2 linked regions of the Danio rerio genome follow. The protein of the gene in region 2 purifies or fractionates together with the protein of the main gene of each other region. This does not show direct contact. Links are inferred from orthologs where the notes say so. Each region holds a gene or a part of one and is shown on either strand. Other genes may lie near its edges. The genes, in order: lsm12a and atxn2l.

Region 1 (4,553 bases), about 7.7 Mb from region 2:
CGAATGTTGTTTGTGATCAGTTAATTTATTTGCCTGATCGATAATTTGTGCGTTATAAAATAAATGTTGCGTTAACAAACCATGAAACAATATTATATGTGGGAACACTCAATATTAATGATCTATATGCCACGTTTAAAGTCTGTGTACTAACATTAAAACTTCTCAACTTGCTGAGGAAACTGAGGCGCTGATGGAATACCTATTGAATTTTTCCATGCTAACTGTACAAAACTATTGTCTAGAATTACTTAAACACATAACCCAATTGTTTTTAGATTTGTATTTATGAGTAAAATATAATCTGTGATTTGAGCCAACATAAAGTAAAAACACAACTTATCTATTTTCTAAATGCATATTACAGAGGAAAGATATCCAAACTTGGGCCAGCGGGACAAATTTGGTGTATGGTAACCTTTGATTTAGGCCGCCAATCAATACAAAAAAAATTGATGGACAACTGAGGGCCTAATCGCACTATGCTATCCGAACACTTGGCCGGCACTGGCCCAGTTGGAAGAGGTGGGCCTGAGCATGGTTAACTTGGGCTTTGGCGCGGTACGTTTGTGAGTGCAAAATGCGCCAAAGCCCAAAACTGAAAGCAAGACGTGACTTTAAGGGACTGTTTCATGGATTTTTTAATCAATCTTACTGTTCAATGAACACAAACTGCCATAGTTTATTAAATACACAGACACCTCAATGCACGACAGCTGAGCACCTTCAGCACACCTCCTCATTCCTGCAGCACGAGGACTTCATGACTGTTGGCAGATCTGTTCGGCGAAATATCTGACTGCGTGTCACCGCATCCCTAAGGAGAGTTTGGCGAAATATTTGACTGCATAACACTGCATATCATACTACTTAAACAATATAACTAGAGAAATCTCCACTGTGCTGAGCGAGAGCGCTCACTGAACAGCGCAGCAGCAATGATGTAAGCGTGCCCAGGCCCGGATGTATGTGAGTGCGGGCCGTCGGGGGAGACGAGAGGGGGGACAAGCGTGCTTTGGCCCGGTTCGAGGCAACTGTACATAGTGTGAGTACGGCCTGATGCAGAAGGTTGGGACGAATCCCTCAAACAGAGAAACCATTTGTTTGTCTGTTTAATTGCTGAGCTGCAAAGAGTGTGTTTACATGTTAAACGAATAAAATAGAAGCTTGTCCTTACTGATTCTGGAAAGCTCCACATATACAGATGTCAGTCTGGTCAAAACTATTCAGTTAATAGAGACTTGTGAAGATGGTTAATCATCACTTGTGTAAACCAATAAAATACATGACTAGGCCAACCATCTGAAAGAGTAATCTCACAATACAATATTAAATATAATGCTTATATTATACGTATATTTATATAAGATTTTCTCCCTATATAAGTTAGTACAAACGACTAAATTAAATAGTATGACATGAAGTGACTTAATGTAAATGAATGGCTGCACATTAGCAGGTTAGCAAGAAAACCACTCGTCATGACCAAAACCATAATAAAAATAGAGAATGATGCATGTAAAACGCAAACTAGAATGCCTAATTGTGATGTGCACATTACACATACTACTGCACGTCAGGCAGAGAGACGTTAGCGTTCAAGGCAAGCTAGCTGACGCCCCCTGAGCACGCATGCGTAGAAGCGTGCGGGGAAAAGCAGCAATGTGTGCTTGACAGCCTGTCCACTCTCATTCACCTCCATTAGTGACTAAGACTGATGCTGGAAATAAACGCGCCAAACCCTCCTGTTTAGGAGACAAGCACCATAGGTTTCTAAATAGGGCTAGATTTAATAATTTTGCAGACATTTCTGGATTTACATGCCTTATTTCCACAGCTGTTTAATATCATTGTATGTTCGTTAATGAATCAGGCAAACGATTCGTGGACCCGGTCGACTGAGTCAAGTTGAGCATCTTTTATGTAAACGAATCATTCTAGTTCACCTCAGTGCACAATCTCGTTGTCTTTCCAACAAAATAATATGTCAAACAGTAAGTTTAATGTATTGCATGTGTTAATGTGGGAAGCTTTAGGGACTCGCAAACATGATAGACGACTATGTGACATTAAAATGACAATTACACTAATATAAGAGCAAGTGGCATACGTACTATGAAATATAAATAATACTTATACACACTCTGCTACCACCAATGACAACAGAATCTACAGAAACGACAAGGGAGTTGATTCAAAAGATTCGACTCATTTGAATGAATCAAAAACCCCGCAGCAAAAATAATGTCAATTCCATGTGGTCTCTGTGAGCGTTAAAACCGCACAATTTATACACACGAGCTAAACCGACCAGCAATCAAACAATCTATAAAACATCTAAGTTAGGAAATATTCATTACAGCATTCTTGTCAGACATTTTCGAGTGTTTTCTGAACATGAGGACCCAGTAGAACTACACAAAAGCTCTTACACGACGTCTAAAACACAACATTGCTGAAAAACATCAAAGTAAATCTACATTTCCTATCGCCCGAGTCCAAATGTGTGCTAATATTTGCAGGCCATCAACTAAAAGCCATAGTTATAAACGTGGCAACCAATCGCAGATCCAAAAGAGCACCACCTGACTCGACATGCGCGAAACACGGAAGCGAATGCCTGGTGGACTCACTTCACCCCGCAGCAAACCTCTTTGACAAACCAGGCCTCTAACAGTTGTGAATCCCGACGATTCAATGACAAGCCGCGACGACAAAAGGATACTCAACGTCAGCATCTTGGACGGGTAGTCGAAAGCGACGACCTCTCCTTGCAAGCGCTGCCCCAGGCAGGTGAGGCAGGAGACGTGGCTCCCGACGCTGAAATACTCTCCTGGTCCAGGAGCCGCCATCTTCTCCGCCAGGAAACGGAGCAGTCGCTGCACGTAAACACGCGCAGCCGCGTCAGCACGGGATGGGAGCGCGAGTGGGTGGGCGTGGCGTGTGAATGAATGAAGTGACGCAAAAAAAACCCGCCGCAAGCGAGGTCACGCCCACTTTACTATGGAGTAGTGGATCGTGAATATATTTACTACAGCACTCATTCATCCGCGCCTCCTGCTTTATTCGGACGAGTATTTTGAAATGATATGGGAGACAGCGGTTATCTTCTGGCACCTGAATGAGGTGTTTTTTTCTCTTTCAGAAAAAGTCTGTTTAAAATGACTGAAATTTGAAACAGTGGGGAAAACCTGCTATCATAGCCATTTGTTATGCCTTTTTGTCTAAATCAGAAAAATATTTATTTGCATCACTTACAGTAAAATACAGTAATTATTTGCTGTTTATATTATGTATTTAGAATAAAATATTATTGTCATATTTTTATAAAAAAAATATTTGAACAAAAAATGTCAAATAATAGCGATAATAGTTTTTATTTAAAAAGTTTAGATATTTTTAAAACACTTGTTCATTTATTTTATTTATTTTCTTTGAGATTATATATATATATATATATATATATATATATATATATATATATATATATATATATATATATATATATATAGCCTTTAGGTTTGCTATTTTGTTTTAACATTTAGTGTTATGCAGAAAAAAACGTGCCACATGCATCATTAAATACATTAAAAGGTTATCTCAAACATTTTTATATGAAAAAAAAAAAAAAAAAAAAATATATATATATATATATATATATATATATATATATATATATATAGTTGAAATCATACTTATTAGCCCCCTTAGAGTTTTTTTTTTTTTTTTTTAATATTTCCCACATGATGTTTAACAGAGCAAGGAAATTTTCACAGAATGTCTGATAATATATTTTTTTTCTGGAGAAAGTCTTATTTGTTTTATTTTGGCTAGAATAAAAGCAGTTTTTAATCTTTTAAAAAACATGTTAAGGTGAAAATTATTAGCCCCTTTAAGCTATATTTTTTTGATATTCTACAGAACAAATCATCATTATACAACAACTTGCCTAATTACCCTAACCTGCCTAGCTAACCTAATTAACATAAGCAAACATTTAAATGTCATTTTGAGCTGTATAGAAGAGTCTTGAAAAATGTCTAGTCAAATATTATTTGCTGTCATCATGGCAAAGATAAAATTAATCAGTTATTAGAGATGAGTTATTAAAACTATAATCATTAGAAATGTGTTGAAAAACTCTCTCTGTTAAACAGAAATTGGGGAACAAAATAAAAAGGGGGCTAATAATTCAGTGGGTTTAATAATTCTGACTTCAACTGCAATGAGAATTAAATAATTATTAACTATATTTATTATAAAATACTTATAATATCTCTATTTCTCTTATTTCAATCCAAAATAAATATAGCTATAAATACATGTATAATTAAACTGCATTAATAAAAGTAACAATTTAGTATTGACCATTAATCATTCATTTAAACGGCCATTCAAATATAGAAAAATCTGTAAAGACGCCATAAACACGAGCTGAAGTAAATGAGCTTCAGTAAAACAGCTGTCACAAATAAATAAACTCAGAAATTGAAGGTGATATGCAGAAAATATATAACTGGACAGGACGGATACATCTGCATCACCATCGGCCA
Region 2 (3,831 bases):
AGATAAGGGATTAAGCTGTAATATTCAAGCTATCCCGGCTTAATTTAACCTGGACTCCTTATTCATTGCAATTAACCTTATTCATTGCAGCTAGCCTGATCCAGGCTAAGATCAATTCTAGTAAATTATCAGCTTGTATTGATGTCAAAGCTACTAAAAATTAAAATGTTATTTAGTCACTTTAAATTCTTGGCCATTTACTTATAATTTCAATGCAAATTTTTCGTAAAGTATATGCATGTTCAAAAGTATTAGCAATATCTATCTATCTATCTATCTATCTATCTATCTATCTATCTATCTATCTATCTATCTATCTATCTATCTATCTATCTATCTATCTGAAAGAAAAAAGAAAGATTAAAGTGTAGACAGATGATTAAATATTTTTTGCTTAAAAATCCAGAACTGTAGATTTCAATCACGATTCTGTAGAAGTAAAATAAAGGTTAATATGAGTAGGTTATTATTATTGTATTTCTCAAAACCATGGTAAAACAACATTATCTGTAGGTCTATTGTTGATTAAAATGCTAAATTTAGTATAGACTTTAAATAGTGGACTTGAACAGACTATAAATATGTCCTGGTTGTTAATTCACAGTAATCACATCTATTCATAATTCTGAAGTTGAATTATTATGTTAGAGACATATGCTTGACATTAATAAGAATGTCAATAACTCAATTTTGACAAAAGACAGAACCTTTTAATTCTAAAGTGACAATTTGTCATTATCAGATTCCCTTTTTGCATTACATTCAACATTATATAGATTAGAGCAGATAAACTGACACAGTAAACATTTATTTTTATGCACAACACTGTGTAAGCTATGAAAGAAATAACATATCAAAATGTTTTGTTGTAATCATAACTTTAAAATGAGATATGATCTTTTAAATGATGTGCGTGCTGGTTTCACTTTTACTGCCAAATGTGGTTCATGTCATGGCTGCAGTCATTATAAGAAAATAAAATAAAAACACACGAAAAAAATATTTACCACGCGGCTCCCAAACAATCACTCTGTTATACAATTTAAACGTTATTTACAACTTTATTAATGTTATTCACAGCCTATGCAGGTTTTGTTTACAAAAGTAGACCTAATTGGCGGGCACACATGCATCCTCACAGTAAAAAAATAGTGCGTCAGCTCAAGTGTGATTTCGCTGCTGGGAATAAGTCCTTACATTAAGGCAGAAATTACATTTCTGGGTGAATTATACCTTATATGTACAGTATGTGACACTTTTAATGCCATGGAGGAGGAGTCCATGTCGCAGAGCAATGTTTATAAAACAATGTGAAGACTTTACGCTTCTCTCCTGACCTTGAAAATATAATTGTAATATAATTGTAGAAAAGCAGATAATGTGTAGAGTCGAATCGAGATCTATTTTCGATTAATCGTGCAGCCTTAAAACGGTTATAAAAAAGTATAAATATTAAAATGTAAATGGGTAAGTTGGCTAATAATCTTCATGATACATTTCCTGAACGTCCAAGGGTCACATTTGAGACCAAGGATGCGCCCGAAACCGCCTACTACTTAGAAGGTAATGCATTTAAATTTAAATGCACTACTCGGCCATTAAAAAAAGTGCGTTCGATACAGTATGCGAGTAGTATGAATGGAATTTGGACGCACTACATCCGCCATGAGCGCGTAACCTTCCCTCGTGAGTTGTGTCGCTTTGCTCCCATTCATAAATTTTCTCGCTGGGCATCATGTCATAGCAAAGCGTGCATGGGATGCACACTTCAGAATCTTGCTGGTAGTAGAATTGAATGAATTCAGACATACTACATGGCTCGCATAAGCCTCTGGAGCAAATTAATGGGATTTCTCAGATCAACTTTCAACTCATTACCTGACTGGCTCACATCAGGTTTTATCCACATCTGCATCATTAAATCTGTGCTCTATCCTATGGTCTGTTTTAAAATGCTGTAAACCTGCACTTATCCCGACTATCTAAACCAGGCTTGACATAGCCTCACATGCTGCATTAACAAATGTGCAGTCATGATATGCTGATCAAACTAGGTCAAACTTCGCTTTTCTGTTATCCTGCATTCTTATTCTGGCAGAGAGCTATTGCACAGAATTAAGCAGACGGATGTACCTGTCCCGGGCTGGGAGCGGGGTGTTGAGGGGGCGGCTGGCTGCCTGTAGGGGTGCTGGAGGGCTGAGGATGAATGGAGCCCGAGTGATGAGAGAATGACTGCGGAGCTGGAGGACAAAGACAAAAACAAAGATCACTTTACTAGTTAAAAATACAAAATCATAATCATATTAGGCCTTGGTAAAAGATCGAGTTAATGGTTTAAAAGTATTGGATTCTTAAAATCTAGAGAAGCTTTCAGGATCAATCAATATTCTGTATTTCACGGGGTCTCCAAGAGCGAGGTGAGAGCTCATCAGGGGCAGGGTGATATTAAGTCCCAATCCCAAGTTTTGTACCCCTACCCCATGGCCCTTAAAACAGAGTGTGATGGGGAAGGGCTTCAAAATTTACTTTTAAGAAATGGGATACCTGCACACGTCATCATATGTCATCGCTATCTCTTGCTTCATATTAGATCTGACGATCGTGACTGCTGTAATTAATTTAGTTGTGTTATTTTTTGGTGTTTATCCTCAGGAATTCACTGAAGGCATATATAATGTTGTCATAATGATCTAATGTGGCAATAAGCTCATAATACTGTGCATTCACACAGTGGCCATATTCATCTATGTGAAGACACGAAAACAACATTAACATTATAGCAGACACTGTAAAAAGCTCATTCCCAGCCACTAGACTTTTCTGACCGGGTATTAGAGTGTCATCGAGTGTCAAAATGTTTTGGGACTTCTGTACAGAAGTTATTATTAGGGATTATAGATTGCGAAATTTACCGGTTTTTATGTTAGCGTTTTTGCTGGTAAAACACATGCGCAGATAAGAATGTGTTAAAAAATGTTTGTTTGTTGTAAAAATTCGGAATGAATGACAAAAATGTGGATCTCCTTACTTCCGGGTGTAACTATCCTGCCGCTCTGGCTGGTCAGGGCTCGAAACTGACCTTTTTGCTTGGTAGCACCGGTGCTCCTAACTTAAAAAATGTAGGCGCATCAGCCAAAATTTAGTCGCACCCACCAATTATGAGCACCGTTACTACAGGTTTTATACAAACATATTTATTGTATTTGAAATCAACACTAATCAAACTAACAAGTAAAAAAATTTATACATGTATGCAAGTGTGAGGAAAATATGTCTCAACAAAATACCGTTATCACAAGAAAATAAACTTTTATAACAGAACTGAGTGAGCAAAAGATACACGGAGCGCTCACCGGCCCTGCACACACTGCTTGAATGAATCTGTTAACGGTATGACTGTGCTGTTCTCACAAGTGCTGTCTGATATTGCACTGATGCTTTTGACATATACTGTACCTTATTATATGCATACATGTTAATAGCAATACCGTTTTTTTCATGAGTAGCGATATTAATTTACTCAGTGTGAGCCCGTTTGCAATGGTGTAGTCTACGTGGTGTTAAATTTGACATATAGCTGCCCCTTGCACGGCGGACAGCATCTGACGATTATATGAAGGATTAAACAGAAGCTCTCGTGCTAGATGTGGCAAACAGTTACCTGAAAACTCCATCCCACAGACTTTTCTTAGCAGACTTGAAGCCAATGGAAGTCTTCTACTCTTGGTAAAGTGTAGATGGTGGATTAACATTCAGCACATGATCACTAGTAAGATGTGTCATTATTTGTAACTAGATGGTTTCTAACACTAAATCTGTCAGTGTTATCTT

Evidence for each region.
Region 1: the proteins of atxn2l (region 2) and lsm12a purify together in Homo sapiens (affinity purification with mass spectrometry; 4 studies listed by BioGRID and IntAct, with this or other methods). This does not show direct contact. The link is inferred for Danio rerio from reciprocal best matches to the Homo sapiens genes ATXN2L and LSM12.

The regions. Positions count from the first base shown.
Region 1 is NC_133178.1:21,729,277-21,733,829, reverse strand, and holds the start of lsm12a (protein LSM12 homolog B), read right to left. Parts: upstream 2,861-4,553; 5' UTR 2,853-2,860; coding exon 2,726-2,852; intron 1-2,725. UniProt on the Homo sapiens protein: Nicotinic acid adenine dinucleotide phosphate (NAADP) binding protein. Confers NAADP sensitivity to the two pore channel complex (TPCs) by acting as TPC accessory protein necessary for NAADP-evoked Ca(2+) release.
Region 2 is NC_133178.1:14,071,112-14,074,942, reverse strand, and holds part of atxn2l (ataxin-2-like protein), read right to left. Parts: intron 2,241-3,831; coding exon 2,134-2,240; intron 1-2,133. UniProt on the Homo sapiens protein: Involved in the regulation of stress granule and P-body formation.